Linked DNA regions of Coturnix japonica. The protein of the gene in region 2 interacts with the protein of the main gene of each other region in a pairwise test. Links are inferred from orthologs where the notes say so. Each region holds a gene or a part of one and is shown on either strand. Other genes may lie near its edges.

What was found.
Region 1: the proteins of CTNNA1 (region 2) and ARMC8 interact in a two-hybrid assay, tested with the Homo sapiens proteins (2 studies listed by BioGRID and IntAct). The link is inferred for Coturnix japonica from reciprocal best matches to the Homo sapiens genes CTNNA1 and ARMC8.

The regions. Positions count from the first base shown.
Region 1 is NC_029524.1:2,434,151-2,450,607, reverse strand, and holds part of ARMC8 (armadillo repeat-containing protein 8), read right to left. Parts: intron 15,815-16,457; coding exon 15,722-15,814; intron 12,113-15,721; coding exon 12,053-12,112; intron 11,424-12,052; coding exon 11,343-11,423; intron 9,280-11,342; coding exon 9,204-9,279; intron 9,114-9,203; coding exon 9,023-9,113; intron 5,481-9,022; coding exon 5,420-5,480; intron 4,379-5,419; coding exon 4,178-4,378; intron 1,752-4,177; coding exon 1,656-1,751; intron 13-1,655; coding exon 1-12. UniProt on the Homo sapiens protein: Component of the CTLH E3 ubiquitin-protein ligase complex that selectively accepts ubiquitin from UBE2H and mediates ubiquitination and subsequent proteasomal degradation of the transcription factor HBP1.
Region 2 is NC_029528.1:14,130,098-14,146,741, reverse strand, and holds the end of CTNNA1 (catenin alpha-1), read right to left. Parts: intron 15,450-16,644; coding exon 15,339-15,449; intron 13,976-15,338; coding exon 13,794-13,975; intron 13,036-13,793; coding exon 12,930-13,035; intron 10,161-12,929; coding exon 10,026-10,160; intron 9,288-10,025; coding exon 9,000-9,287; 3' UTR 8,284-8,999; downstream 1-8,283. Other genes in the region: nucleotide exchange factor SIL1, read left to right, coding at 2,448-2,544, 4,359-4,523, 5,918-6,265. UniProt on the Homo sapiens protein: Associates with the cytoplasmic domain of a variety of cadherins. The association of catenins to cadherins produces a complex which is linked to the actin filament network, and which seems to be of primary importance for cadherins cell-adhesion properties.

The DNA.
Region 1 (16,457 bases), on a different chromosome or scaffold from region 2:
AGTTTCAATGATCTAGAGCAAAAAGTAACCAATATCATATGAATAAAATAATATGAACATTTACGGGGCTGTTATCTTTTGTTTTGTTCTTCTTTCCTGTCTGCAATGTTTTAAATACCGTACAAAAACTATAACTAAAAACAGCAAGCCACTTTAGAGTCTCAAACTAAGCAGAACAAAGTGTGCATCTGCACGTGATTTGGGAGATATCTATACCCTCTGTTCCACTACTGCTCTCAAAATGTCCTGAATAATCATTGAGAAAAAATACATATAATATGTACAATGTATTACTCAGTGTTATACTAAAATGAAAGATAGCATGTGTGAGTGTACAAAATATATACAAACTATAGATTAGAGACATGTGGTAAAGCCATCTGGAAAAGATACAGTTGCTCATCTTCCATATTTAGACATGGCCGGCACAAGCATTTAAAAGTAGGAGAAAAGGGAGTTAATACCATGGTGAAAGATGGCCTTTATATAATAAACCAACTTTGTCCTGTTCACATCCATCACTTGTTAAAGACAATTCTTTGAAATGTAAGAGAAGGGATCCTTGCTATTAACTAAAGAAATTAGAAAGAGAAATGTATGAGTTTGAATCTCCGGTTGGGTTTGCTGTGGTAGGACAAGGGGAAATAGCTTCAAATTTAAAGAGGGGAGATTTAGATTTGATATAAGGAAGAACTTTTTTGTTTTTTTTTTTTACAATCATTGGAGACATGGAGATCCAAGGTCAGGCTGGATGGGGCTCTGAGCACCTGATGGAGCTGTAGGTGTCCCTGTTTGTTGCAGGGGAGTTGGGCTGGATGGCCTTGAAGGGTCCCTTCCAACTCAAATAATTCTATCATTCTCTAAAATCTGGAGATTCTGAATGGGTCCCCAATGAAAAAATCCTCCTACTTGTTATCCTCTCAACTGAATGTTTTCCCACCTCCTACCTGCCCTTGCTTTTCATCCATCCTGCTTCTTGTGCCTGATATTTTAGTTTGACATAGCAACCCCACACTAAATTTCAAACTTTTAACTACATGACTACTCCTATCTTCCCATCTTTTCTTCATTGTTTGAGTAGAATTTGTCCCCCATGACACCACATTTTCTAATAGCACAAACCCCTCGGTCACTTCAGAATCACCGAATCAATTGTGACTTGGTTTCACAACATGATCAGATTTCCTAGGGTTTGTTTCTGGGTAAACATTCATTTTATAACAGAGGCAAATTTTGTCTCCCCAAAACACAGGTTGCAGAAATGCTTTAAGACCCACATGCCACAGCAATGACCTCACACAGCCTAAATGGCTGGACTGATAATCTTTCTAGGTCCCTTCCTACCAAGCTATTCCATTTTATTCTGAGTAGCAAGGACCACAGCACGCTGAAAGACTTTATTCTGAAAATCTAGTTTATCACCATGAAAAATTCACACCAACTAACCTTACTCTTCTATTTTGTTAATAAAGACAAATTTTCTTCAAATCCCACTCAAAGAAAGAGCGCTGTAGAACTCTGTTAATGTAACAGAAAGCAAGCCTTCACAACTCACAGCAAAACAAAGGAAGAGTTGGAAGGAGCAAAACATACATCCAAGCTCTTGCACTGCCCTTCACCTATAGCTCTGCCTCATTGCGGACATTTTTGCTCACCTTTTTTCGAATATCTTCATCGTTTGCTCCAAGGGAAGCATACAGCTTGAAAGCAGCCTGGCGCAGCTCATGGGCATGCTTCAAATCATGGTCAAGCTATTTAAATAAATACAGATATCAAATATAGACGCTAAAAATTACGGGTGGTATTTCCTTATTTGCTGTACACTAATAGCTGCTTCCTCGGGTTTTGTCTATCACACGTAGAACAGCCAGAAATACAAACAACCTGCTGTTTCATCAGCTGATGTCCACGCTCATCATCTGAACACAATAATTTAAGGGTATGGTTAATGTCACTGTTGAGTTACAGATAAGCCAACTTAAATAACATCTGCTTACAACATTTTGATGCCAAAACACTTCTCAGATGTTACTGCTCCATTCAGACTATATTAAGGTGAAAAGCAGTCTTATTTACCCAACAGAAACTTATAGGAACAAGCCAGAAGAAGTGGAAAAAATTAGTACAGAATCAAAAGTTTTATCAACAGAACCGAAGCCCATCCCTCAACCACAGGACTTAGAGCTTAAGGCGATTGTTAACTTCCAGTTCCTGTCATAAGGGCAACACATCAAAGTGCTAACTGCCTAGATGTTTGGGGAAGGTAACAACACAGGTTCTAGGCAAGTGAATTAGGGTGATGCATCACGGGACACATGACTCACAAATCAGGAACAACTGTACTGGGTATGATAATCAAGTGGGAACACTTGGCTGTAGGGATAATAGTGGCATCCCAGCTCCTGCAAGGTGTGAGCAAGGCAAGAAGCAGAATACATACAAAGCCTTGACTTTGGGATAGTAGACCTGCATTAGCTGAAAGAGAACACCCTGGTTGTCAGCGAGGAGAAGAGAAGGCTGAGCAGAGACATAAGAGCAGCCTTCACCTCAAGAAGACTACAAAGAACATGAAGGTGGACTCTCTATGGAGGTGCAAAGAAAGAGGAGACAATAATCAGATTGGAACAGGTGAGGTTCTAACTCATATTCACCTGGGGAACACTGGAACTGAATGCACTGAGAAGCTGTTTAATCACCATTGTTAGCAGTTCTCAATAGCCAACTAGACAATCCCTTCATGTCCTTACCAAGCAGAGTTGCTCTATGATTGACACCCTTGCAAACTCCAACCCAAAGGGTTCCACATAACAGAGCAACATTTTAAGCCTACTCAAAATGCCAGAAAAATGCCAGTATTAAGCGACAAGTTATTGGTATGAAAGAACTGTCCAAAATTAAGCTGTACGAACAATTTCCCCTGGTACAGATACACCATTAGAGCAGAATGTATTATGTCTATTTTTAATATTTTAACAACAATAAGTAATCTGTTCAGTAAAGTCCACACTCATCCTGTTTTTACCTTCTAGGGAGTAATTCAAAGAGTTTTTTTCCTTCTCCTCCAAACAAGCACCCTGCCATTCCAGGTGACTATTTTTAGAGACTTTCTGAACACTTAAAGCCATGTCATAATACCTATAATCACTCCTGTTCAGAACCTTTGCCATGTTTTTGATGCTACCACCAACACTCACTGCTTCCCAGTCAAATGCTCATTTTCCTTCTGCTTATTATCTAAAGTGCAACCAACAGTTTTTTTAATATTTAATTTGCATTTTTACATCTACTTAAAAGCAACTGTACGTGCAGAATCAATTCAATCCCTTGAAAGCCTGAGAGGTGTGTCCACCCCTGGGGACAGTCTCAAAGAAAAACAAAGGCTCTGTAATCCACTTCTTTGGGGTACTTTCTTTAAACTGAATGAGAGAAAAAGGGAATTGACAAACGATACTTCCCTACAAGGAATATCAAGAACAATCCTGTTTCCAAGACTGACTGATCTACTAGTGCTTTGGTAAGTGTATATACAGCTGGGAATAGAACAGCTCCTAAAACACCTATGATAATAAGCCTCCAAGGTATACTGGATCATTGTTTATCCAACCTCTTGCAAGTGCAGATAACATCTGGGAGATAACGTGAAATGATATACAGGGCATCCAGGTTTTTCTGCGTAACAGAAAAGAACCATCTCTGAACTTAACATTTTCCACAACTTCACCTATGAATTCACACCATCCACATCACATGGACTATTATCTCTTATGAAGACGAAATGCAGCGGCTCCTGAAGCTGTAAACTTGTAAACTCAGCACATGAGCAACATGACAGATGCCCTTGTCCAGTATTTCACTACTACATTGGGAAATGTCATGAAAATCCTATGAAGAAGCTGCATTAAACTATCCAGAAACCATCTTCCTGTGTTCCACAAAGAACAGCAAAATCCTTCTTACAAGATGTAGAGCCCAAATATACACAAAGTTCTTTGTTTGGATATTACAGGCTCCAGAATGAACAAAGACTTGAGGCCTAGTTGCATTAGGGTCATGGCCTAGCCTAGGTCTGGCAACCTTTCCATTGAAGAACTTGGATATAAGGCTGAGCTAAACAGAATAAAGAAACACCTTGAGCCCATTTCTTACTGTTTTTCAAAGATTCAGCAGAAGAACCTACCCTTTTGATATCAGTGATTGCACTCACTGAGCTGGGATACTTGAAGTAATCGGCAAGCATGACAATGAGGTGGTCAGTAATGCTGGCAATTCTCTGAAGTTCCACGTCTGTTTCAATCAAATAGGCCAGAGTTTCTGCTCCTTCTACTCGTTCCTCCAGCAGTCTCTCCTTGCTACACATTCGAACCAAACATGGCAGAGTCTGATGAGTTTAAAAAGAATAAAAACAAAATACTGTTTGGAACAGCTAGGTTCATAAAGAAACTCGAACAGCTATTTTAAAGCAATTCTCAGTAATGTTATTTGAACAGGTACCTTCAGACAAAAAGTATTTTAAAGACTACAGAGAAATTGTTCAGGCAATACTGAGTATACATTAGGCTACTTTCAACCAAGTTCTCATGCAGTGAAAAAGAGTTTAGATCAGATGTCACTACTGACACTGATGATACTGGAATGAACTGCATTTTGGATATCCGCTTAAAAAGATGGGAGAGATAGAAATTTGACTCTGCCAACATGAGGACTTTCACCTGTAATTACCTTGAATGGCAGATACGAAATTCCCCCTAGCAAACAGTGTAAATGTACCATACTCAACTGCGATTAACACTGAAACGTGTTTTCTTAGTGCAGCATCTTATAAAGAAACTGCCCTTTCCCCTGCATTACCAGAACACTGGACATAGGGACAGTTCCTGACGCGCTGCAGACAACTCTCCCAACCCTAACCAAGTTATGAAGCACTGATGTTCAGACAAACTTACAAAACTACTGTGAAATTTGAGGAACAGCCTGATTTTGACAGGCTCCTTTTATACACTGTGCAAGCATTTTGACTATTGTCTTCTGTCTTGACTACAGTCTTCTGAAACTTGCTTCTGAAACAGATAACAGCGCCTTGTTCGCATGCAGAGATCAAGGTAGGGATGTGGTTTCCATGTTACTTACAAACAGTTACTTACATCATTACAAACCTTAAACTGCTGTGTGTCAAACTTTGGAATATTTATTGCTGGATATCAACATTTTGGTATCTAAAAGTTCTTACAAGAGCTACACTGCTATAAGTGTTTTAAGGCAATTAGGGAACAACTGTTTGTTTAATTACTATCATTAGAACTTGGTGCTTTGAGATCACCTATTTAACAGGCTTTGCACTACTTTTTATACTAGACAAATAAAAACAGGAGTAGATCCTTATAGAAATGCTGTTTTAAACAGAATTGTCTAACTAGCTCACCTTAAGAACGATGCAAGAGTCATCTGTCCGTATTGCTCCAGCTCTGCACATGGAAGTAAGGCTGTGACAACACAATAAAACATAAATTCACTTATCCTTGGTTTTTAGCACTTAAAACACTGCAGAACAACCCGCTGTACTAATGAAATGTGCTCCCCTTTTGATTGATTTTCATACATTTGAGCTAACTGTAGGCACATGACCAAATTACAACACACACACTTGCAAGGAGATTTATAGCACAGAACATCTTGCTGGAGCACTGACCAACACGGACACCACACAGGTCAAAAAAAGGACTAACCAAGAAGCTCGACTGATGTACAAATCTCTTACAATAACAAAACAAAGTTAACTATGTTCACTAGGATAAAACAGCAATACGCACAGATCTGTCCTATACTGCCCACAGCACAGGAAAGGACTAATAAGGAGAGGGTCAACGGAGGGCTGACAGTTTAAGTCATAGAATCACCAAGGTTGGGAAAGACCTCCAAGATCAAGTCCAACCATCCACCTATCACCAATACTTCCCACTAAACCACGTCCCTCAGCACGACATTCAAACATTTCTCCACCCTGGCAGCCCATTCCAGTGCCTTATCACTCTCTCATAGAAGCAGTATTTCCTAATGTCCAACCACCTGAATCTCCCTGGTGCAACTTGAGGTCATTCCCTCTAGTCCTATCACTAGTTCCATTAGATCTCAACTTTCCCTTTTGATATGGGCAGATTCCTGTATGTTCATGTACCTAATGACCAGATGGCTCTGTAGGGCCTTCCTAAGCAGATCAACACTTCCTGCCAGCTTGGTGTCATCTGCAGAAATATTTGAGCTTGGCATTAATTTAGGAGACTCAGTACAGGAGTAGTCAAGTACCTTGTTTTAGCTTTCAAACTAAGCCATTGTAACTAGCTTTTATTGTGTCGCAAGTGGGAGGTTAAAAAAACCAACCACCAACTGCCATTTAAAGAAGGTGACTTAAAACTACCATTTCAATTCTTGGTTGGACTGGTTGAAACCATATATAAGGCCAATCACAATTGCCCATAATAATATGCCAACCTTAATAGCACCATGTTTCACTGCATTCCTATGATTTTTAAAAGAACCCAGAGTTCCCACATCTTTAATAACATCATTTAACCTGTTCCAAGTGTCTACCAATGAAAGACGTGAATAAAAATGCACTGATTATGAGATTTTAGCTATTATGACTCAGAAGTTAAACAGATACAACTCGGCAGCACAGAGATTATTTTCTAAACTTTTCTGTTCAAACTTTGTATCTTACAGCTGGAAATACTGATTTCCACGTCTGAACAATCAGGAGGAGAACACCAGTCTTGCAGCTGCCATTAATTCCTGTTACGATACTGTTTGCAGGACAAACTGACTCAACTTCGAACACAAAGTAAGTTAAAGTACTTCAGATAAATAGGCTTGGCTTAGATGGCAGCAATTACACTAATTTCAGTAGAAAAGGTGCTCTTCTCTAAACTGTTCTGCTTATAGGTGCAAATCACTCCCCCAAGAGGCCGACTTATTGCTCCCTCTTTGCCAAAATCACCGTTCAAATGAAGGATCCTTATTCCATTTCAATCAAGAGGTATTAAGTCAGATCTTCCAGGTCTACTTGAACAGTTGAAAAGCAAAGGAAGCTTCCTCAGATATCCCTGTATACCAGTATGTAGATTAAAACCAGCTTAGCAGAAGGCTTCAGAAATTCACCAAAATAACTCTACTTCTGTATTCTAAGGACTCTACCAATAAACCAGAGAGGAATCCCACGTTAATCAACAAAAGCTGGCACATCAAAAGTGAAGTCTTAATTTTTTATCAGAAAAGCAGTTACAATTTCACCTACTACTCCAGCCTAGAAGGAGTAGGAGTGAAGAGAGATACAGACTTACTTTAAGGGATACAAGCAGGGAACAGATTTAGAGAAGAAAAGCCAGTAGATTTTTGAAGTCCTTACACTGTCATGAAACTGATACCTTCAGTGCCCTAGGAAAGAGGGCTGCCCACAGGCTAATTAGGAGCCCACTCTTGAAGCACAAGACACTGGTTTGTTCCCCTCATTCTTGTAGGGTTTTTTTTGCTTTTCATTGCACATTTTTTCTTCTGTGCTTTCAAAAGTCCATTTGAGCCAAAAATGAGAGAATCTCCAGCCAAATCCCTCCAAATCAAAGCAGATTAGTAAAGAATACCAACATATCTGAGAGCGTTTATCCTAGAACAAGAAGAAACCAAAGCCAGAATAGATTTCTAACTGCAATTTGCCTTCATAACTAACCGATGCTCTTGTATCTTAAGTTAAAAAAAATAACCTGTTCTCATGAACTCGGTTTTTTAACCCTAATTCTCTGTTTTCTCTGAACTGCCAAAGAAACACAAATCGATCACAACAGACTTCTTCAAGACAGTTGATTTACCTTGCCTCCCCTTCAGTACCTGAAGAAAACCTGATTTGCTAGAGGGGAATGCAGGAGGCCCCCAGTCCAGCCTCCCACCACACAGTGGGATTACCTTCCTAAAACAATCCTCCCCAAACGTACACTTATTTATAATTGCTTTCATGAATGGGTTAAGTTGCCACAACCTGGCAACGTGACAAAAGAGACCATCCTCCTACTCCCCCCATCCTTATTCCTCAGCCAGAAACTCAAGCCTTTGCTCTGACAAGTGTCAGTGAAATTATTTTGGTGAATAGAATGAGAGAACTCATTGCTGTAAGCCAAAGATAAGCCACTAAAATCTGGACTAGCTGTAAATGGAAAGAATTAAAGGAGACCAAATCAAATAATCAATGACCAAACACTCAAATCATGTTAGATTTTAGTAGTTCATAGTGACATATCTCTTCAAACACCTGAAGTCATTTATTTACTCCATCTCATCAATATAAGAGAAGAAAAAGGGTCTTAAGCAGAGTTAGCTCCCAGCTTATCGAGTGTGAAACCCTAGTGTTAATGTTACAGAATTCAGTCACATTTTGTCACAAGGTACAAAGTCATTAGGTACATGAACATACAGGAATCTGCCCATATCAAAAGGGAAAGTTGAGAGATGAACTTTAAAATAAATTAGTAACTAATTCTGTTGCATGAACATATGAAGTTTAAAAAACAATCTATGCTTAATTAAACCATTTGAGAGAGTGTCTTGCTCTCTTCTTATTTTAGGAGAGGGCTTACTGTTCTCAATACACCACAGCCACAGTCTCCAAAGCAAACTCTCAGGACAGTGGTGTAACAAGCACATTATCTGGTAGTACACAATTACATTTCGGTATTATACTTTGTAAGGACAAACTACTGACTATAACCTATTTAACATAAAACTTATAATCAAATTCAAGCTACTTGAGAAAACTGCAGTTCAACTGAAGAAAACAGAGGTGGTTTTTTTCTTGTTTATGCTCAAGAAAAAATAAGATGACTAGGTGATAACAATATTTCAAGTATCTAGGTAATACAAATAACATCTTTCATTATTCCTACCTAAAGTTTTAGTTCCCTCGCATGCAGCGAGGATAAAACCAAAAGTTAAGAAGTACTAGATTGCACACTATTGCATTCCAATTCCCGATGAAAATTACCATTTGGCTGATGTGAGCTGCATTTCAATAGGCTTGTCCCTTTGTAACATCTTCACAAAGATTTGTGGTAACAGTTCTCCGTCAACCGACACTGTAAGTAATGGAAGAGAACTCAAAGTGATACTAATTCAATCAGTCAATAAAGTAAGTGTCAAACAAGCAGCGGTTGCATTATACTTACCATTTACCAGAGTCATTGATACCTGTGGGTTTTCAAAGGCTAGAACGGAGAAGCATTTCAAGGCTTGCATTCGAACCTGTTTAAAAAAAAACAATAAATAAAGCATAGATGTAAATGCTAACTTAAAAGTAAAACAGGACTGTATTGATGTACAAAGCAGCAGAAATAATTCTGCATCACCAGTAAGAAATTTAGATGGATAAAAAGCAGATAAAACATCTAATTCACAGTTTAACTCCTGTGATCTCCCTGCTTGGAATTACCATTCCAGACTTGACATTGTAGACTGTTTTCAAAGACACAAGCAAGGACTGGCATGTGGGAAGCAGACATTCAGAAACACTAGTTTCATTTGTGGTTTCACACAAACATGTAAACAGCAAAAAAAAAAACCCAGATATATCATAAATCCAGTACTTCCTCTTTCGAGGATTCATGAGTACCCTGAGGGAATTAGAAACACATGTCACTGTATCAGTAGTTTTTAAAGGTGAATTTAATAATATTTCTGAAGAGATTATCCAGTCAAATTGATTTTAAACTAATCTTAAAACAATAATATACTGTAAGTTTCATTGCTATTGCATAACATCAGTTATCACTCGTGCACTAATGATTCACAGCTCTCTATGCTGGATCACTGAATTGTTTTGGTTGGTTGGAAGAGACCTCTGGATATCTTCTGGTTCAACTTCATCTATCAACTAGGGCAGCTGGCTTCTGAATATTTCCAAGGAAGGAGACCCTACAACCTCCTTGGGTAGCCTCAAATCTGAAACTAAGTTTTGGTTCATCAAGCCTTCATAACTGCCTACTAAAGATGACTTCCTTCTGACCTCTTTTTTGAGGCAAGGAAGATCATCACCATCATCCCAGATAATGAATCTAATTTAGTTCACAGTCTTTTGACTTCAATTGCTACAGTTCTATATATGTTGTAGTAGTCGTTAATGAGGAATCTATATATGTAAATTTTGCTGATGTCTTTCTATGCTTTTGTTACAACTTCCTTAGTGTGACCATAACACTAAGAAGCAAGATTTCAACCTAAAAATCCCTGTCGCTGAAGAAAGCATTTGTGACTGTTGCATTTTAGGTTTAGGTTCATCTTCCCCAAGAATTCTGAAGGCAGACAATAACAGCAAAGACTACCAAGCATTCATACTGTATCTCACTACAGTCAAGGTAAGACAATCAATAGCAGTGAAGTCAGGAGTAACAAATAGCAGAAATGGATACATGGCTTCAAAACAAAAGCCTTATTTGGCAACACTTCTGTTTACTGAACAGATGATTTCATGAATACAAGGTATGCACCAACGCAACAGGAAGCAGAGACTTCTCAGTGCTTCAAAAAGCACTGAGAACAGTCAAACCCAGAGTTGGATGAGAACTAAGTGGCTTGAATTCCTGAAGAGCATCAGTTACATTGAAAAAAGCAACTGAGAAATCTTATCCAGCTCCTATTTCTTTATTTAAAAAAAAATAGGAATGGTTCAAAGTGGTGCACAACTTGGAACATTCACCTTACAACACAGAATGAAAGACTTCAGTTGATGAAAACGTAATACAGAAAGACAGAAAACACACCTGTCAGTCCCAGTAACAAAATACTGAGAATACCGTACTTCAAACAGGATTTATAAAATGAAACAGCATGGCATTTTCTGATAGCCCAGGATGGACTCTTGAAAGCATAAAAAGGGATGGAGCCTGTGAGACTCAATGAGCACAAAATATTGGTAGCTGGTAACCCTCACAGATTCCAAGCTCATGTTTTTACAAGTGTATCTTCTCTTTAGGACAGCTCATTTTGCTTAATTGCATTTCTGCTTAATTGCTCTTTCTCCTTAAATGTTCAGCAAATTACACCAGCCTTATTTTGATTTCTTTTCCTTATGCTTGCCAAGTGACCGTCCTTCTGATCAACGAATCCCAGATCTGCCTGAAGTAAAGACGTCCTAAGAGCATTCCAAAATAACAGGCCTCATTTTGACAGAAACCCACACAACAGGTAAAAGTGATTCTATAAATAGACATTCCACACGTTAACAGTTCTAGGTCATACATGTATACATAGCTTTTATCATGATCGTAGAGATCCCTTTCATAAAACACTGAATAATTTTCATGTCTTACTTTGTAGGAGGTGGAGACTAACAGATGTGCGATATTCTGAACAGCTCCGTGGTTAAACAAGATTGTCTGGTGGTCTGGACCCTACAAAGGAAAATATAAAATGCGATTTATTCATTTATTTATAAGGAACATGTGAAAGATTACTATTACCTCAACTATTATTATTTTACTATTCAAAGGTAGATTCACCAGCATGTGTTTCGTAATCAGTTGGTATATCAACTTATCTTTTCAAGAAAGAAGCCCAATTTTTTTAACTCTCAACAGTCTCCTGGGAGACTTGCAAACTCCTCCTTAGAAGTAGAGTCGTGACTCTAGCCACCTCTACATTAAACACGGGCACAACTGGAATCCACCTTTTGGGATGTCACACCATTAATCATACCCTGATACATTTTCTTGACTACTCTGCAAATGCAGAAAGTATCTTCACTCAATTTCTTGCTCAAACCCGGCTGGGTTTATGGGCATATGTACACACCCTAGTAAGCATAAGTGACACTTCATTTCCACATTTGAGATTCAGCTGAAATCAGATTCTCTTTGTATTCAAAAGAACATTTTTGGAACATCCCTCACTCTAAGAAAAAGAGCATGAGAATTACATATCTGGTGCTTTAAGAGATGCTTCAGCTGCTACTGCCACCAAGAGCTTTCTATTAAAAAAAACACAATCAAAATAGCATGGTTGAAGTAGGAAAACAACTTACATTGGCACACAGAAGTGGCTGAGGCAATGACTTAAAGCCGCAGCTATGCCAGTGTTGAAGCTGAAGAACAGATATTGAAATATGTGAAAAATATGAATGAACTCAGAAGTTAAAAAAAAAATCATATTGACCTAGATTGTTCTAGTAATCCATAGGCATTAGTGACTTTTTCAATGAGATGCAGATGTCAAACTCTGTATTCATAGCTGCAGAAGCTGACGTACAGATTGGATGCTTTCACATACACATTGTGTATGCACACACCAATTCTGCTTGTTCAATGCACACGCAGGCTGAGTTCTAACTGTGATGCAGACAGCTTCAAATACACAGGTGATATCTTCAGATTACAGTGTATCCATCCTTCCTTTCTAATTCCAAGCATCTCAGACACCAGCTTAATAGCAGGGCCTTTTGGCTTTGTTTTTCTCTGGGCATCCTATCAGAGTTGCAGGAGCCAATTCTATTTCAAGGATCCGAAACCCCCTTTCAGCATATTTGGAACTAGATGATCTTTAAGGTCCCTTCCAACCATTCTATTCTACGGTCTTCTTTTCCCCAGATGTGATTGAGTGATGAAATATTTCGGAGACAAATCACATTCCTTGCATTATTTTCTATCAAAACTCTGATTTTCATGAAAGCAGTAGGATAGAAGAGTCTAACAATTCATTCCATAACAAAATTTTAGATGCAGATATGGAAGTGCAAATGTATCTTGGTTCAGGCCTAGGATCACATAAGAAATCATTCTCAGAATAAGCTTAGGAGGAAACTGCCCTGATTACAGGCTTTAACCTGCATCTCTCCTAGATGAGTTTAATTTTCAACCACTGGTGAACTTATACAGAGATATCACCACATTCAAAATAATTTTCCAACACTATCTTTTCAAACTGTTTATACAACTGCTTGTTTCCAAATGCATAGCACATCCTTCTAATTTGATGTTTAAAACAGTAAAGCTGACCTACTCACGTTACTTTCTCTGGAAATAAATCAACTGTGATAGAGAGGACCTTTAAAAGTTTTGACTTGCATTTTAGCATGCCTTGAACACAATCCAGTTTCAGTTTGCTTGGTTTTGATTACATGTTGATAGAGTCATAGCTATGTATGCTGAAATCTGTACCATTTCCCCCTGTAAACCAACACTGTCCTTAAGATGGCTCTTCTCCAGAGTCAACATATTCCACTGCTCAATTTTAACTCCAAAAATGCAGTGAAAAGCAATAAAAGCATGAACTTGAAGCAGACAACAACAGCAATATGCTAGGAACCTGAATTAAGGATTTCCTAGCTAAGGAAAACAGGTCTAAGCTGCAATTCGAGCAGGTAAGAAAGAAGGAACCCCAAAAGCTTGACCAAACAAAACTCTCTGACCAGGAAGAGACAGAATGGAGAACAAGATCTAAGCAGAGAAGAGTATGTAGAAACAAGGAGGACAGACAGGAGCTGTGATATGCCATCATTTTGTGTGTATTTATTAATACGAAGAAAAAAATACAAACATTGATACATACACTAATATGTTAAGGCTTATCTGAATTACAAGCCTCGTACTAACTTATTTATCCAGGGAAAAATTATATAGGGTTCTCAGTCATGATTTTTTTTAGCATAGGAGATGAAAACTTCATTTTAAAATGTTCTTTCAGAAGTATTCGATACTTTTTAATAAGAATGTACTTTCCACATACATCAGAAAATCCCTGCAAGTTCTGCTTGCCTGCACTAGAAATATTTTATCACTCCAGAATACAACAACTGATTTTACGTCTTATTTCCCAGATAGGAAATCCAAGAAATAATCAAAGTAAGGAAGAAAGGGGCATTAGCCAGAACAAGAAATGAGCTTAATTACAAATATTTTTCTTTGCTCTGCAGCAAGGTATTTATTCTACAGATATAGGCCCCATCCTTCATACCCATCACTCTGCTTTTAATGCGCATTCAGGTTTCTGCCTGTTTCCAATGTCACCTTTTCATTCCAAAACCTTGGGATTTTTCAAAACATTCACTCCAAGTTTTGTTTGAGCTGGAGCAGGATTTGTTGTTTGGAGTGGTGCTGAAAACAGGTGACTTCATAAGACCTTGCTTATTCTCCTCTTATTATGTGACTGGGCTACTGTTTTATTAACTATACATTTGAGAGGCAAGTCAGCAGGAGTTCACAGAGTTAAAAGGAAGCTGCTCACATAGGAGAAGATGACAAGTGTGTTCAAGCTGGGTTAGTTAACTGACATTACTCAGCAGTTTGCACTCAGCCAGCCAGCAAGGCTTCTGCCACTGAGCTAAGTTCCACCTGGATCAACAGACTTCTGCATCCATATACTGTCAGTCCTGTGTTATTTCCCTTATGTGCCAACATGGCCTGATCTTTCAGTCATTACTCTCTATTACAGGCACTGTCAAGGCCTATTTAAACTTGAGGTGCCCGTGTTTGTCATTAGACAGGTACAACTTACTTGTTCCCATCAGGTCAAGACGGAAACAATCAAAACACCTTGTGTGACAACCTTCCCACAGCAGAAAGGAATGGCACCGGTGCATCTTACTTAAAATACCAAATTTATTTTCTAATATTAACTACAGATCGAGCTTATATAGTCCAGCATAGGATAGCCCAGCTTATATAGTGCAGCTTGCTTTCAACAATACTCTACATATTAGCAGCTGAGTTCAATTTTTAAATTGCTTTACAGTCTTCAGTTTCATGTAACAGAAGAAACTGAATTGGATGAACACACATGCCAAGGCAAAGACAAACAAAGAAATAATTTACAGCCCCAGAAGACTCATTTTTCAATTATGAGACATATTTTTGGAGGTAAATACTTAGCAATTCAAGAAATTTGAACACTGTTACTTGCCAGTCCAGCAGATAAATACAGTCTATCTGTCTTTAGTCATAAAATGTAGCTATAAAGGACAGATGCTAAACAATTTTGGTTTTCCACACTGAACTGAATCAGTTACTTTATACCCACCAGGTACAATAACTACCAAAAGAAACGTTTTTCATAAAAGTTGTGTGAGAGAAACTAAGGGATATAGGGAGAGATGCAGACAAGGAGTGCCTTAGGACTAGAAGACAGCAACATGAGAACAAGAATGTATCTGAGGTAGAGTTGTTGGTAAATTATAATCCCTATATTAGGGAAATTGCATTACACAGCAGGAACAAACATTTATCAGGATAAACCTGTAACTGGTACAGCTCAACTGGGAATAGCATTCTTCCCCTCAACCTACAGTACTTCTTGTAAACCCTTCTCTTGGTTTAAAACAGCCGGTGTGGTAGGAGATGAAAGCCCTTTGCAAAGAGAAGTTCACATGTTTTTTGAGATTTCCAGAGAAATAAAAACAAAACCTTCCTATACTGTTATCCCATGCTAACTACTGTTAGTAGTGATGACTGATATTTGCCTCGACTGCTGATGTAGTTTAGTAGCCAAAGATATTAACACCTCAAAAATCAGTTATTTCCATACTTGGCTTTACTGCAGAGAACCATCTATTACACCCAGTGTGATAGCAAATCTAGGACAACAGGAGTTCAGCCATTACTGTTCTAATATGCCTGCTGAAAGAGGTGGTATCTTACACAGATTCTTATGTGCCAGAAACACAACAAGTCTCACAGAGAACATGTATTCTCCTCCTTACTTTGCAGCAGTGTGAGAAGATCTGACATATGTATTCTTGCGTATATCGAGACCTACTGAGCAGCGCCATGAGGTGTGAGATAACTGTAGCATCCTGAAAGCAAGTCAGAAAAAAAAAAAATAAGGCATTAAGACCATTTCACTATAGTTTGTTAATAACTTGTTACTTAGAAGGGTACTCAATTCTGCATTCTATATTCCCTATTAAGTATTTCACTCACTGGAACTTGCACACAAGACAAGACCATTGAAGTAGTACAGAAGATACATAAGACATCCTCAGAAATTCATGTTAGATATAAAACCTGTTTATGCCTCCAGAATCTTTACTTCATGAGCAAACAATGAATAAATAGAAGGGGAAAAAGGAAAAAACCCTACACTGCCTGCAAATCTGTAATTCTGTGACACCCACTGACTGATTAGTACAGGGCAATGAATTAATAATTCCCCTTGGTTTAGGCACTGTTATAGCAATGCCAGAGAATTCCAAATACATCACAGCAAAATAAAATCACTAAACTTGAAGTTGTCTCATGAAAACACATCTATCTACTTTTTAAGCTCTCTGGTAAATTACCAAATGATGATATTTGAAAGCTCTCTGTTAGTTTTACCAGTACCTCTCAAGTCAGATGATGACATTAAAAGCAATACCAACCATTTTAGTTTGGAAGGGTAGAAAACTGAATTAACTCTGTGAGATAAAGGGTGCCTAACAAAGGAGATGAAAGAAC
Region 2 (16,644 bases):
ACTGATACAGTGGCACATTAAATTGGTGCCGGGCAAAGGCTCCCGGAGCCTGGGGAGGAGGCAGCAGTGGGAGGCATAAATAGTCTTTGTCTTGTGGCCAAATCCGTGCATCCTCACTGCAGCAGAGTGCGGGGCAGTGCAGGTGGCCCCAGTCACCACCAGTCTGCAGAGCTTGGAGAGTTGGCCTGGGGTGGGATCTGAAGGTGCAGAGAAATGGACCAGGGGCGCTGGGAAGGAGGGTCCGGTGGCCGCATCCCTCCTGATGTGAAGCTGCTGTAGCCTGAGTGCAGCACTTGTACGGGGCTGAGCCTCACCCCTGGAGCTGCACCCTGCACCCACAGCTCTGCCCTCCCTGTGCATCCAGGGCTGCTCTTTGTGTGCAGGCTCTGCCCTGCTGCTCTCCCAGCTTCGTTGCAGCCTTTTCCTGCTGCTGATGCCAGCATCCCCTTATCTAGTGACAGATTAGCACAGGTTGAATTTTCGATGATAGCAGTCCACAGTCTGTCTCATTGTATTTATTTTGTTCGGGCTGCTTTTCCATGGGCTTGACAGTGTAATTTGTACAGATCTGTGCTGAATTTTCCAAACCCTCAAATGAGCTTTTTGTTAGTGGACAATTGATGGTGGAGACATGAAACAACAGAAATGCTGAGAAGTGAGCGGCACGTCGAGCATCCAGGAAGGCTTCCCAACCTCCAGAGCTTCTCTTTGGCAAAAACTCCATGGTTCAGAGATTTTAATTAGATCTAATGCTCCGGGTGACCAGCCAAGCATTAAAAGGCAGAGCAGTTTTTCCGTTATATCCCTTGCTGTGGAGTTTTTTATTATTTATTTTAGATAGATGTGACAAAAGAACTTCAAGATCCCAGTTCTCTTTGAATGGCACGAAGAGCTCTGCAGTCTGAGAGCTCCTTTCCATGCACCGTGCTCCAGAACGTGCCTGCCTGCAGCCTTACTGCCCCCATTGCCTGGAGTAACATTAATGTGAGATTGGAGGGGGATTTAGGATCAGAAACTGTATTTCCAAGTCTCAGAGTTGCCAGCTCCTCATTGGAGTCTGGAAGCGCAGCGTTCTCGTTCTCATCCTCACCACTAATGGAGCTGCAGTTCCTGCCTGGCAGCACTTGGATGAGATGCCAGGCAGAACCTGAACTCCTGCATCTCCATTTCACCAGGAGAGCTCAGCAGAAGCAAACACAGCCCAGCTGTGCACACATGGAGGTAGAGACCAAAGCTGTCACTGCTGGAAACGGAGCTGGAAAAAACCTTCCTCCTGTTGCCTGGTTTGCAGCACAGCCTGTCTGGGTTCTGTGTCTCTGGACTCCCACAGGAGCCCAGTCACAAGCCCTCAGTATGTCTGCCTTGATTCAGCTGGGCAGAAGGGCGATGCAGGGTTCATCCACCTCTCTGGGGGGCTCTCCCTGCCCACTTGCTGCCTGGGGTTCGTGTCCCACTCGGCAGCTCTGTGTGCTGGCTGTGTTGGACGGGTCTGCAGCACAACCCTGACAGCTCCGAGCTGATGTTCCCCTGTCCTGCCGTTGTGCTCTTCCATCTTTGCCCTGGGAGAAGTGGCTGAGGCTGGTGCTGGGATGCAGCCCCTGTGTGTGCTCACTGCTGGGGGCAGTGGTGGTTTAGCTGCCCTGGGCTGGGGCTGCTCACACAGAGCTGAGGGCTTTGCTGTCTTTTTGTGAGCTAATATCAAGCCACCAGTTCAATTCGAGGCTGCTCCCTACCCAAGTCCATTTATCCTCCGTTTTTGTTTTTTTATGACCCTGTCTGCCTCTGTCTCATTTCTTGTATGATTTTCAGCACTGGCTGCTCCGCAGCTTTCTGCAGCAGTGAGAGCTGGGGGTGTTTGCTGTAGCAGGGATGCTGACCTCTGTGTAATGTGGTGCAGTCGCTGCTTCAGAGCTGAGAAGAGGCTGAAGTGCTGGAGCTCTCCCTCGGAGCCAATGAGACCTGGGATCAGTGTGGGACTTCCTGCAGTCTCAGCCCCATTCTTCCAGCCAGAGGGACGCACTCAGCCTCCTCCAGTCCTTGAGAAGCACTCAATGAGAGATGTGTGGGTGGCCAGACCAGGCACAGTCTGTTTAAAGGCCCCGGGGATGGCAGGTCCTTCCTCCAGGTGAAGCTGGGGCAGGGCTGGTGCTGCAGCGTGGGCACACAGCAGCAGGGGAGTACGGCTGTAAATCAGCACAGCAACACTGAGCGAGGGGGAGGCGAGTGCCAGGACAGGCCATTAAGGAGCAGAGGCAGCGCAGAGCTGCAGGATTAATGGAGCAGTGGCTGCAAGGCCAGGGTGAGGGCGGGCTCCTTGCTGGGGGCAGATGGGCAGGATGGAGGCACACAGCAGGGCAGCACGGGTTGCCCAGCTCGTCTGTCCCCATCTGCACTGCCATCCCCTCGTTGTCCCTGTGTGTGACAGGCCTTTGTGTTTTTGTTTGCAGCAACCCCAAAGTCCAGGTAGAAGCAATTGAAGGAGGAGCGCTGCAGAAGCTGCTGGTCATTGTGGCTACGGAACAACCACAGGCTGTCAAGAAGAAGGTGAGCAGGCAGGGATCACTCCTGGGCAAAGCCATTTGGGAAGCAGCTCTCTACAGGGTACCACACCTTATAGTTTCTGCCAGTGTGGCGCTCACACAAGCACGAGACTCGTGCTGCATCCATTCTGGGGACATCTGATGGACCCCATGCCCCACAATGTGGTGCTGGTGGCCAGGCCACAGCCCATGGCCCTGATGGGTTGGTGCTGTGGTCTCGCTCATTGCACACAGGGGTGCACGTCATTGCCTTGGGGGACAGGCTGGATGCTGCAGCTCAGCTGTGGGGGGAGGCGGGGATGCCCGCAGCAGGCACCAGGCTCAGAGGGCTGCAAGCACAGGAGCTGACATTTGGAAGGAGCTAATTGCCAGCGCCTGCCCTGCGTCCTGCCCCCGGCTGTGGCCGGCAGCGGAGGCTGCGCAGCGTGTTGAGCGGCTCCAAGAGCCCCCAGCCAAATGTGCAGCGCTGTCCATTGGGTCGGGGATCCCTCGCTGCCTCCCCGCCGTGCTCCCCGGAGCGTGAGATCTAATTACCCTCCATTTGGCATCTGATGCCACCACTGTTTGTTGGCCATAACGTTTTCTGTCGGCTCCTGAACATCCAGCCCCACTTTTTAACATGGTGACCTTCCGCAAGATGGAACTCGATGGGGTGAGGCAACTCACAGCTCTTTTGTTTGTCTTTAATGTACCCGCCATTGGGCAAACAGTGAAGTGCTGCATGAGTTTTAACAAGGAGCTTCCACAAAGGTGTTCGTCTCTGGTCCATAGCAAAGCCTTGGGAGGAGCTGAGCAGTCTGCAGCTGTTTGGCTGCTCCCTCACTGCTGGGTGGGAGCAGTGCCTGCAGGGACCAACCTGCAGCTCAGTGTGCGATGGGAAGTTTGGCTGGGATGCACAGACCCTCACCAGCCCCTTCTGAGCCCCTGCTGGGTATGGACCCTGAGCTCAGTGCCATCCATGTACCCACGTGGCACTTTGGGGCAGAGCTGAGGCCTTTTTCCAAGAGGAAAAACTGAATTCCCGCAGCCCGTTCCTGTGCCCACAGTGCCCCCAGCCCCCAGGCCAGGTGCCCATGATGGGTTGTGCCCGAGCCTGCAGGTTTCCGCACTGATGCTCGCAGCACTGTGCTGCAGCGAGGCCAGAAGTGCATCCTTCACTCCCTGGTCCTTTGGCCTATGGTAAGAAAGGAGACGGAAACATCACTGATTTACCGGAGGCAACTGCAGGGATGTAAAATAGTAACAAATGGGGCCGGGGAAGCAATGGCTGTCAGCTTGGATCTGTCCGCAGAGCAGGGCACAAGGCTTGCCATGGCACGGGGCTGGATCTCTCTGAGACCCCCATGGCCCCATAGTTCTGCCCGATGGTGGTGTAACCCAGCACTGTGCTGGGAGCAGCCATCAGAATGGGGCTGTTGACCCTTGTTTACCCCTCTGTGCCAGCCCGTCTGTTAGGGACACAGAAGGGAGCACACGTGTGCTGCTGCCACACTCACAGTGTGAGATGTTGCTCCTGGACTGGTCCTCTGCCCTCATGAGGCAGGAGAGGTGATGTTCCCTGGTGTCCATCTCTGCCCATGGCCAGGTTCTGTGCCAAAGGCAAAAGGAGGGAACTGGGACAGTGCAGGTGCTGGCTGTGTCACTGTGGGTGCCCAACTCCTGCAGTGATGGGAGTTCAGGTGGGCATCAGCTGCGGGTTGTGGTGGGTGGATTGGGGAGGTTTGGGATGCTCTTCATGGCCGGGCTGTGTGGGAGCTTTGTGAGCAGCCCGTGCCCCCTGTGCTGCATTACAGCCCTGCTCCCCCTGCTCTCCTGCAGGCACTCTTTGCTCTCTCCTCGCTGCTGAGGCACTTCCCCTACGCCCAGCAGCAGTTCCTCAAGCTGGGCGGCCTCCAGGTGCTGCGTGGGCTCTTCAGGCAGCCGGGGACCTCAGCGCTGTGTGTCCGCGCCGTGACGCTGCTCTACGACCTCATTGTGGAGAAGGTGAGGGCTGTGGGCAGCGGGACGGGGGGATGGAGCCCTCCCAGCTCCTGGGCTGGACCTGCAGCTCCCGCAGCTTTATTTCCACGTACCAGGGATTAATGCTGCAAATGTCAGTTCAAACGCTGCCTTTCCTCGCCACCGCTTGTTATTTAGTTTGTGCGTCTCTCTTACTCCAGAGAATGGGAGTTAAATCCACTTTCGCTCTGTTTATGGCCAATTTGCCCTGCAGATTATGGCTGCTTTAATGCTCAGATTCCAGGCTCCGCAGAGGAATGGCTGAGCTCTAAAACAGTTGTTCTCCATGGGATTATGTGAAGGTGCACGTTACTGTGATGGCTGAGATCCCATCAGGTGTGAGCTCTGACTCCCTGTATGGGAAATGCTGAGTCCCAGCCTGAGCCACTGATGGAGCACCTGGGGAAGGGTCAGCCCTGGCAGCACAGGTGAAGGCAGTTCAGCTCTGAGGCAGGAAGGGGTGGGGGCTGCCTGCTCCTCTTTTAGGCCTCATTGAAGGGCTGACTGCCACTGGGGAGGGTTTGTGGTTGGAAATCTCTTCCTTGAGGAGTCTTTCCTGTAAGCCTGGATGTTCAGAGGTGGGTGAGCACCTTTTCCTTTGTAACACCATTCTATTTGCACTGATCTCTCCTTCTGCACTCCTGTATTGCCCTTCCTCTGCGTTGACCTTTCTGGCTGTAACGTGTGCTGCCCTGTTCCTCTGCTACAGCACAAGGGTTGGTGGGCTTGGCTCCTCCTGCCACATCTCGTGCTGCCCCTCATGCAGCCCCAGCTCTGCTCTGGCTGCTGGAGGTTCCTCATGCCCTGCAGAGCCTCATGTTTGTACCTACACGTGGCTGTTGCTGCCTGCAGCCCACCAGGCTCAGCCCCTTCCAGGGCCTGCAGGGAAAACCAAAACACGATGGAACCTGGTGGGGAGCAGGGCTGGGCCAGCAGGTTTGGGGCTGCCTGGGTGAAAATGTGCTTCTAAAATCATACAGTAACACCAGCCCCTGTGAGTGCTGGCTCTGCACTGAAGTGCAAAGCAGTGTCTGAATGATATTTGTCTCCTCTTTTTTTCATCCCAAATCCTGAATGCCAAAGTACAAATGGGTGTTCAGCAGTAGCCCTAATGGGAAATAGGGCATCACTCCTTTGTCTCTATGCCTGGCAGTTCAGTGGCACAGAGTGCTGTGATGGAGTGGGGATGGTAGAAAGATATTGAGGGAGGGCACCGTAGACACCCTTGGGTACCCAGCTGGCCATGGGGATGGGGCCATCCTGTGCCTATCACTGCTCTCCCTCTGCTCCTCTGGCTCTGGGTTTCTGTTGTTGGCTCCACAGAAGCCTGAATCCTCCTTCACCTCCCTGTGCCATCACCTGCCCCCTGTCCCCCACAGATGCTGCTGGAGGACTCTCAGCACAGCGACCACATGGAGAAGGTGCAGCAGTACCGGCGGGTGCAGCTGGTGCCGGCGGTGCTGGAGCAGGACTGGTGTGTGGCTGTGCCGGGGCTGCTGGCTCTGCCGGAGCATGATGCACGCGAGAAGGTGCTAAAGGCCGTGTCGGTGCTGATGGAGCTGTGCAGGGAGCGGTTCCGCGGGGACACGGCGCTCAGTGCCACGCTGGGGATGCTGCGCAGTGAGTACGAGGAGCTGGCAGCTGCTGAGCGCAGGGATGGCGATGGGGACGGGTACTTCCAGGAGCTGCTGGGCGCTGTGAACAGCATCGTGCGGGAGCTGAGCTGAGCTGAGGATGGAGCTTGGATGGGTCGGGACAATGGTGTGATGTGTGCTGGGCTGTGTCAGTGCACCGGGAATAAATGGCTGAGCTAAGGGAGCCCCTCCTGTGTGTGCCAATGGGTTTGTTATGGGACAGAGGTGCTGGGGGCTCCGTCCTTCACAATGAGCATCACTGGGAAACAGGTCTGTGCTCAGAGGGATGAAGCAGTTCCAGCTCACGCTGCTGCTGCCCTACAGACAAGGACCTGCTGCCAGTGCCCTCTGCAGCCCTGGGTCCACTCCTCCCATCATAGGACATAGTGGGTGCTGAGCTGTTCCTGCCCGTGGCTGTGGTCGGCCGGCTGTCACCGCTGCAGGGAGGCACTTATTGCAAGTATTGATTTTAGTGTTTGTTTTTCTCATTCCTTGGGTTTCTATTGGAGCTGCCTCCCTGGGATTAAAAACCTGCTTTGGTTTTATTCCCCAGCACCGTTCCCAGCTGCCTGCTCGGGGCTGGGGTTCTGTAGGGTTAAGGATAAGCACCATCTGATGGCTGTCACTGCTGGGGTAGGTCTCAGTGCTGGGCACCACGCAGTGCTAAATGGGGTTGAGGTGTCCTGGCCCCATGGCCCTCATGGTCCCCAAACTCCAGGGCTGCATGTAGCTCTGTGTATTGTGCCCTCCTACTGCTGGGGTGCCGGGGCCACCTCAGGGCAGCAGTGAGGACAGTGGTGCCCATGGAAGCACACAGTGCCCACCAGTGCTGTCCCTGCCCTCAGCAGGGTTCACTGCAGGGGTTGCAGTTCTGTCAGGCTTTGCCTTTCCTGCTTTCCCCCCTGGTCTGTTTGTCCCATGGTGCCCAGGTGTGTGGCTGCACAGATGTGCACAGCTCAGAGCCACAGGGTGAGCGGCTCATGGCCCAGTACAGCCATTGGCATTGCCACCAACTGCCGGAGGAGCACAGTGGAGGGAGAACACTGTCCTGAAAGGAAGCTGATCCTGGCATTGCTTACCAAGGAGCGCTCTGGTGCTCGGGGAAGGTGCTGCTGAGCTACCTGGGCAGTGTGGGCAGCCAGAGCCCAGCAGGCAGCACAGCACAGCGCTGCATCGTGCCTCACATATGCTGAGCACTGCGTGGGATGAGCTGCTCCTTTGGGTGCAGGGCAGCTCCTGCTGCTCTCCTCCACCCACAGAGGCAACAAACAAACAGCTGTGGTGTCCCTGAGCAGGGCAGCGCTGGCAGCACATCCCCACGTGTGCTCCTCACACTGCTGCCAGAGGAACAGCCTTCCCTCCAGCACTGCGGATGAGACGAAGCGCACAAGTCCTTCCCCAGAGCTTAATTGCATCAAGCAGTAATTACTGTAATTCTTTTCAATTGGCTCTAATAAAGTTACGGTGCCGCTCCTGTGCTGGATGCTGCCTGCCTGGGCCCTGCTGGCTCCTGAGGGCTGGGGATGCTCCCAGAGTTCACAGCCCAACATGAGTTTGTGTTCACACTAAACCTGGGTGGATCTAAGTGTCTGTTTGCTGCAGTTTGTGATGCTGTCACACAGGGATCCAGAGGAGTGGTTTGTGTTTGTGGCATTAAGGTGCAGCATTGAGGCCCTGGGTGTTTGTGGGGCCAGCACTGACACTGCAGGGCATTGTCACCCGTCCTTGGAGGCAGCAGCACTTGGGAGCAAAATGGGCAACATTAACTCCTAATCCTGACCTGCAGCTGGTAACCTGACAGCAAAGGGCTTGATACAGTAAACCGTGATTGAGGTAAATGGAATTATAAGCTAAGCACTGCCAAGGAGCTGCTCTCAAACTCAGTTACAGTCACAGCACTGCACCAACCCCTGGCCACGAACCACTCACAGCCTTCTGGGGAAGGAGGGATCTCGTTGGTGGGAGTAAAACACACCAACACCCAGAGTGTGTAAATAAACAGGGGTGAAGCGATGCCTGTAGGTACATCACCGCACAGCACTGCAGCCAGAGCTAACGAGAGCTGCTGGGAAATGCACACAGCGCCAACAGCACGAACAGCACAACGCAGGGTGGGAAAAGCAACTTTATTGTGTCCTGCAGCAACAACATCCGCCGTCTGCAGCCGGGCATTACCGCTCTGGTGTCACACAGAAGCCAGCAGTGACCCCAGCAGCCACGGGGGGCACAGGGATGGGAGGCAGCACAGGGAGCACTGCAGCCCCTCCCGGCCCTGCCCAGCCGTGTGCCATGCAGCTCCATGGCAGGAGCTGCTCGCTGTGTTCTCAGCTCCTGTTGGCACTCACAGCTCACTGGCTCTCGGCTCCCAGCAGGATCCACATACACACAATAATCTATTTGTAAAACCTTTTTTTTTTTTTTTTTGAGTGAAAAGCCTTAATTTTTCCCTCTGGATCACAAGGCAGAACGGCCGCCTCCAAGCAGGACGGTTCAGCTATCAGCGTTAACTGTTAGTGTTAGTGTAAAACCTCTTTGGTTATAGAATATTTCATTTAAAGCGAGATTATACAAAATAGTTTCCAGCTAGAAATACACCCCTGGAATCTAAAAGCAATCTAAAGGAACACACTCCCGCAGTCTGGAGCTATACTGATAGGTTTCGTGATTCGAGTATTTCCCCACATGATCTAAACAAAGTTATCAAAATTATATTAAGTAAATACATTTGGAGGAGTAGGAAACTCCTGAGAATCCTCAGGATGTTAAGAGCAGAGTTCTGGCAGTAGCAGTAGTGGCCTAAAGGAAAAACTGACCGACACGGGCACCTCTAAATGCTCTCCATCGCCTTGAACTCGCTGAGCGCCTGCACCGGGTTCACGTGCTTCTTCTGGGACGCCCGCTTGATTTTGGTCTGGGTCTCGTCCTGCTTCTCCCTTTTGACCAGGGGCTTCTTCTCCGGAGCCTTCATCTTCCAGGACACGGCGGGGAGGTTGAGCGAGGCCATGCCCTGCGACTTCTGGTACTTGGTGGACGCCACGTAGGACGCCTTCACCGTCTGCACCACCGCGTTCATCAGGTTCTTGGCCGCCTGGATGAGGGACATGGCGCTGTCCACCTGCAGGGAGGGAATGGGGTTACAGGAGGTGACAGACCCCAGCAGCCCCACAGCAGCACCCTGAGCTCTGCACTGCACCCACCCCACAACTGCTCTGATGGCTTTGCTCAAAGCCTGGACCCCATCCACACAGTGATGTTCCCCTGCTGACACTGCGCCCTGCCTGCACAATGCTCTGTGCTAATGGCAACCGAAGGGATCTGTGCTCCGCTGTTTGCTTTTGGGACTAAGCTTTAAAAGCAGCTTATTCTCTAATGAAATTAATAAAATCACAGCAATATCTTAATTGCTGATAATAAACATTTAAATCAGCCGGGAACATGAAGTTATATTACAAAGGGAGGAGTGCAGTGTTATCTTCACCGGGCCTGGAGCTGTTTGCAGGGTGGTTCCTACTGACAGGAGCTTTAAAATGAGACAGAATTCCCTTGCAGACACGGGGCCTTCCCCTGTAACCTGACAGAGCTGAACAGCACCCAGCAGCACTCAGCCCCATGGGCAGATTGCAGGGGAGCAGATAAAGCGGCAGATTAGATGGCAGATGCCTGCTCACATAACTAATTTATGGCAGGAGGGGATGTACGTTCTGAAGAAGCTGAATAATGGCAGTAAAACCCTGGAGTCCACATTACTGTGTAATGACACATCCACTCCTCTGACAGCACGATGCCTTCAGCCTCCCACAGAGGAGCACATCAAGCAGCAGAGCTGTGTGGCACCAAACGTCATCCTACGTACCCCAGACACGACGAGTTCCCCTCCAAGGTTCTGCACTTCAGCCTTCACTTTGCTGCAGATGTTGAGCTGGTGGCAGTACAGGGCGATGCGCTGCAGATAGGCCAGCAGGTCCTGCTTGCATGCCGAGTCGGGGCACTGCAGGGAGAGACACAGCAAGGGTTGGTGTGGGGATGGAGTCCATGGAAGTAACTTGTTCAGCTTTGCATTTTCCAGCACCCCACATGCTCACGTAGGGAACCCAAACACCCTCCAATGCCCCACTGTGATACCCTGTGACACACTGACACCCCGTGATACCCTGTGATTCTGTGGTCTGGGTGGCAGCAGTTGCCTTCGTGCCCCCCAGCCAAGCTAAGAACACACCGAGGCACCTGCAGCTCTCTTGGTTTCCATCAGCGAAGTGAAAACTGCATAACAAAGAGGTGAGGTCTGCTGGTTATTTTCTTAAGTGAATCAATACCAGCCAGCAGTGCAAGATGTTTTAGGGAGAGCTCACAAACACCGTGGGCCAAGGAGTTAATGAAACCCTGCCATTAGCATCTGGGAAATGCTCTCCATCTCCTGAGCAGCTCAGCTGGGGCTGAGTGCTGACACACACACACTGCAGTGTGGCTGGGGGTTGTGCACAGCTTGGGGTGCTGTACGGGTAGGAATTAGGAAGAGCCTGTGGTGGCAGGAAGCAACCAAACAGCAGTGGGAAGGTAAGAAATGGGATCAGAGATATTATTTAATAGCAGACATCAATATGACATGACTGGGAAACCCACAGCCTACACTGTGTGTGCTAATTCGATGAGCAGAGTGGAGAATTCAGTTCAAAAACCAATGATGTCTGCAAAGAGAAACTACCCAAGATAAAAGACAGCATCCAAGGCTGGATGTGGCTCTGGGCAGCCTGGGCTGGTGGTTGACAACCCTGCACGCAGCAGGGGGCTGAAAAGAGATGATCACTGTGGTCCTGTTCAACCCAGGCCATTCTAGGGTTCCATGGTTCCCACACTGATTAGGACATGAGGCAGCCCCGTGTGGTCCCAGCAGCACGTACAGCCATCAGCCTCCCATCACTGTGTGCAGCAGCACAACGGGGTGGGTTTTCCTGCTGTAAATATTTCAACATTAAAAAAAATAATAACAGAGAATTGCTGCAAATCATTTTCGTTTGTGTTGTACTCGGAACTCCTTCACGTTCTCCCATTCAAAACAAGCAGGCGGCTCCTCTGAGTGAAGGATGGAAGGAAAACCCCTGGGGAAATCTGCAGGCTGATGGCTCGATGCCTCTCAGCAGACATGAAATACCCGGGATAACAGCTGGGATGTTTGAAGGCGCTGCGTTGTGAAGCTGGGAGCCCCGACACGCTGACACCAGGGCTGTGATCCAGCACTGCCACGTGGGCTGTGGGACACCAGGACCCTCTGCTCGCTCACAGCCATGTGAGATACAGGAAGACATTCGTGCTCCACCGGAGCGGCTGCACGCAGCCCTCTGTCTCTGTCAGGTATGTCTGCAGAGCATGTAAGCCTATCTAATGAAATATGTAAGGTGGAAGTGTTAGCAGGGTGTGGAGTCACAAAAAAGCCATATTCCTGTCAAAGTGACTAACTGTGCTTTCCTGCTGGTATTTATCTCCTGACCTGTGCTTCATCTGTTACATTTTTACCCACTTGATGTCTACTAAAAGCAGCCATTTAACCTCCCCCCTTCCAGCACTGCTCAGTGCAGGAACCATCCACCAGGTTTGTGCCGAACACATGAATCAGAAACAGCAGCGTTGGGAACTTCAGCCCCAAACCCCCCCCGAGGTCTGTGACACAAACTGCTCCTCACTCCATGTCCCTGCATTCAGCAGCAGCGGCTCCTGATCCCCAGGATCGGGGCTGGCACAGCGCTACGGCTGGGAGCCCATTTTAAACAACACCTTCCTGCTTTTGCTCCTCATCAAACGCTTCTCACTGCACCATAAACACACTGAGGTGAGCACAGAGTCCTCTGGATGCAACGCTTAATAGAGATCTGCATCACAAAGATTTAATTTCAGAGTAAGACGGCTTCATTAGAAGCCTGGTATTATCAATTATGTTCAGAGCAAGACTGAAAAGCAAGCAACAGCTGCACGAAACACAGTTTAGAGCAGTCATGATCTCAGACCTAACCTACTTGCCTTGCAGGGCACCTTCTAAAGGCAGAGCATTATGATGTCTGCAGTTTGGGTGTGGACTCAGACCAAAGGTGTTTCTGCTTGTTCCAACCCAGCTTGTGCAGCAGCCCGGGACACACCACATAAACCCTGAGCTCAGTCCTACACAATTCATTCCAAATGCTGCAGCTCACAGAGCACACAGAGCACAGCACCTGCACCACAGCCCGGGATGATGCAGAGCACCCAGCATTCCTGACTCCGTATCTTCCATCAGCTCTGGGCTGGACAGAAGGAATAATGGTGAGGCCACCATTCACCTACGGGGCATCTGAAAATCATTCAGTATTAAAAAGCTGCCTCAAAACTAATATTACAGGTTGTGCAAACAGGCCACGTGCAGTAATTATGGCATTGCCTACACAGCCCTGTCACTGCTTTGGAAAGTGCTGGCAGCCTCAGCATGAGGAAAACAACAGGAACAGTTCCAGCCCTGCTGTGTTGAGGCACCGGGCTGGAGCAGGGCTGTCAGACTGCAGGTACCTGGTTGAAGCTGAGGAGCTGCAGGTTTCATGGCTGGACAAACTGAGCTGCCTGCAGTGCTGGGATGGCAGGAGAACAGCGAGCAGGAGAAGACACAACTCTGGAAATGCAGAAGAACAGCCCAGCCCTCACAGTAACCACAGGCTGCCACATTCACCGTGTCTGCAGCATGAAAACATCTGTTGCTCATCTGTGCTGGAGGGTCATTAAAGAAATGGTGACTTACGTGGTCAGCAATAGTGCGTCCCAGCTTGTCCATCCTTGACCCAGCCTCTGCGATCTTCTTGGCTGCACTAATCACATCTGATGTGTTTTTCAGTGGACCTTTACCTCTGGAAAGCAGAACAGAGCAAACCTTCAGAAAAACAAGAGCTGGAACAAGGCGCTGCTCTTCCCATTGCTCATTACAGTGGCAGCAAACCCCACAGCACAAATGAGGCTGCACAAGCAGGCGGGTCACAGGTGCAGCCATTAATGCCTCTTCATGCACCTCCCAGGCAGATCCCCCCCGCAGCCTCTCCCCACGTTCAGATTAAATGTAGGAATAAAAACATCTTAAACTTTACTGTTTCAAGCAAACTAATTATGATGAGAGATAACATTTTAGAAGGCGGATTTGTAATTTGCATGGAACGCAACATCAAGTTTAAAAAATAGTGTTGTATGAAGTCTAGTAAATGGATTTCAAAAGCCATCAGAAAAACACTCTTTCTTTTGCAAATAACTGTGCGAGGAACTATTTCTATAGCACAGCAATAACAAGAAGCCCATAGAACTTAATGTTGTAAAGAACTGAATGCTATATTTATGTGTAGTTGCATATATATGTGCATATATATATATATATGTCTATATATACACTCTTTGGGCCCAAATCCCCCTTAAGAAAGAAAGAACATCAGGCAACAATTGTGTCTATCTACAGACCAATCTAAACAGCTCCGGTCACTGTACAGTGACCTCTCCCAGGTTAATCCCAGGCTTTAACAGGTTAACATTGACAGTTACAAGAAGTGAGGCTGCTAAAAAGGACCAGCACCATCTCAGGCAGCTCTGAGAGGTGCTGTGTGCACAAATTACAAACACTCACCTGGTGAAGTCTGTCATTTCCATCATAATCATACACATTTGTTTGGCCAGAACAATTATATCGTTACCGCTGTCATCCCATTTTGATACTTCAGCATCCAATTTGCTCTTTTCTTCCTGGAAGCTCGCTACCTGCTCAGCAATCTTGGCCTTTTGCTCTTGAGGGAGCTGTGCCATGATAGCCTGAAAGAGAAAGCTTTCTCACAGAGCCTCCCCCAGCCACAAGGCAGAAGGCTTTGCTTTGTGGAACACTTCACTGATAGCCAATTTAAGTTACGTAGATGGGGGATAAAACTTTAATAGCAATCCTCTACCTAGAGGGTTTCCAGAGCGATTTCCTTCCATTTCAAACATGAAGTTTATGCTGTATGAATTACTACCAGCTCTAAAGAAGAAAAAATACCCAGACAGACAAGCTGACACCCAAAGCACAGCAAAACTGTGTGACTCCAGCCATGTTTGCCACATGTTACCATCCCTCACAGAACAGCAGCACGGCGAGGAGGGAGCAGCCTCACCTCCCAGAGAGCACAAAAGCACCAGCAGTGAGCACAGCTCCAAAGGCAATGCGGCAGTTTGATAAATAAGGCCCCACCATTCCTGCCTGGTTGTGGACAAAAAGAGCCTTCAGAAAAATCTTTCATGGCATTTTCCCAAGAGGATAAATTGTTATCGACCCAGAAGGGAACACGTCAAACAAAGGCAATAGGTAAGGCCTGCTTTTCCTTCCGTGTACCAATTTTAAGTTATCACCTGTTAATGATTATGTATTACATATCAGTGCTTTCATTTTAAACAGTCATAGGAAATTCACTCTGTTTAAATTACTTCATTTTCCAGCTGCTTTCAGCATTGTCTTGATTAAAGGCCCAGTGCCCAAACTTATACATAGGAAAACCTTCTGTAAAAAATGCCTGAGCTGCAAAGTTTGATGCCCACACAGCTGGTATTTGCCTGCTGTAACTCACAGCCACACCATGGAATTACTTGTCCTGTATCTTCCTGCAGACACTCCTTGCCTGACTAAATGGCAGTGCCTACAACATCTGCTTTAGGTTGGATATCAGGGGGAAGTTCTTTACTCTGAGAGTGGTGAGGTGCTGGCACAGCTGCCCAGAGAGGCTGTGGATGCCCCGTCCATCCCTGGAGGTGTTGAAGGCCAGGTTGGATGGGGCCCTGGGCAGCCTGGGCTGCTCTGAAATGGGGAGGTTGGTGGCCCTGCCTGTGGTGGGGGGTTGGAGCTTCGTGATCCTTGGGGTCCCTTCCAACCCAACCATTCTGTGATTCTCTGTGATGCCAAAGGATGCAGCAGCTCATCAGTACAAAAAGCAATCTGATCTTTCAGAACGTCTACAACAAAACGCTGGTGTTTGTGACATCCATCACACCACCTGCTGCATCTCACTTGAACTCCTTCTCAAAAGCAAACCAGAAACAGAGAATGTCTGCTTTCTGACCTAACCAAAATTTAACCTGGATCTTCAAAATGAGCTGAACTGCTTCTTGAAGGCAGGACACGCTCTGCTAACACAGAGTTCTTCCTTACCCTTGCGCTTTGTCCAGCAATGAGTTGGTCATCTTCTGTCTGAATGCTTGTTCTGCTTCGGACATCGAAATCTTCCGTCTCGAAGTCAGAATCATCCAACTCCTCTGGGGTCTGAGGGGAGAGAAGCACACCAAGAGTCAGACAGCAGTTTGAATGGCTCTAAAATCAAGGAGAACGCCGTGTTTGTGAGGATGGAAATAAGCCCAGGGAAGAACTGTTCAATGTCCTCAACAGGAAGGTGTGACAGGCCTTACAGACACGTGTGGTGAGCACAGCTGAGCGCTCACGTTAAACACGGTAGAAATCCCCCAAATTACTGAGCAGTCACTGAACATCTGAGATTTGTCAGAGGACACGAATGCACAGAGGAGCTGAAATACAGAGAAAGTCTTTCCAAAATGAACACCACCTTTTGCAACTTTGATAAATGTAAAAGCTTCGCCTCACATCCTGGAGCTAAAATTACATACAACTTTAAGCCCTGGTTCACAACCACGGACGTCTTCTTTAGCACAATTATGAATCAAAGCATCGACTGAATTAACAACAGACAAAACGTATCGAAATTTATTCTCGTCCCCCAGGAGAAGCTTAAAATGTTTAGCTCGTAAGGGCCAGCTTTTATGCTGTCGGCTAAACCCAGCTGACCTACTTCCCGCCTGCCTACCATTTATTTTTGCTACTGCCAGTCTATGGCTGGCAACATTTTTATACAGCTTATCATTTTAAACAGCCACATTTGTTCAAATACTGCAGCTCTGCTGAGCCTGGAACTCGAAGACAATTCTGCAGAGCTGGACCAACAAAGACCTTCACTGATAAATGCCACGAACTGTGATTAATGGGCAAAATGCAAACCAAGTCTTTGCTCTTCAGGTTTCTTTCCCATGCTCAATTTCATGAACTCGTTCCCTGATTCTGATGCAGACATCTCGTAACACACTTAAAATAAAAACACTTATGCAAAAGAGCAGCAAAAAGGCAGAGGTGGTTGAGCATGCTGACAACTGAGACGTATTCTGGCCCCAGCTCCTGCCCATGCCTTTATGAACCGAGCAGGGACACACAGTGTGGTACATCGGTGTGTCAGTATTTTAAGAACAGGGTTAAGATCCCCCCAAACCCATCTGCCACATCTTTAGGAAGATGCTGACAATGCCAGAGCCCCTCCCCTTCCTGCCCATCCGACAGCCCAGGGGGCAAAGACTCTTCTGGGGCTGACAGGAGGTTGCCTGGGACCAGGGAGCACAGAGCTTTGTTTCAGTAACTACAGACAGAGTGAGATTTTACTTCTGAAAACAGGCTG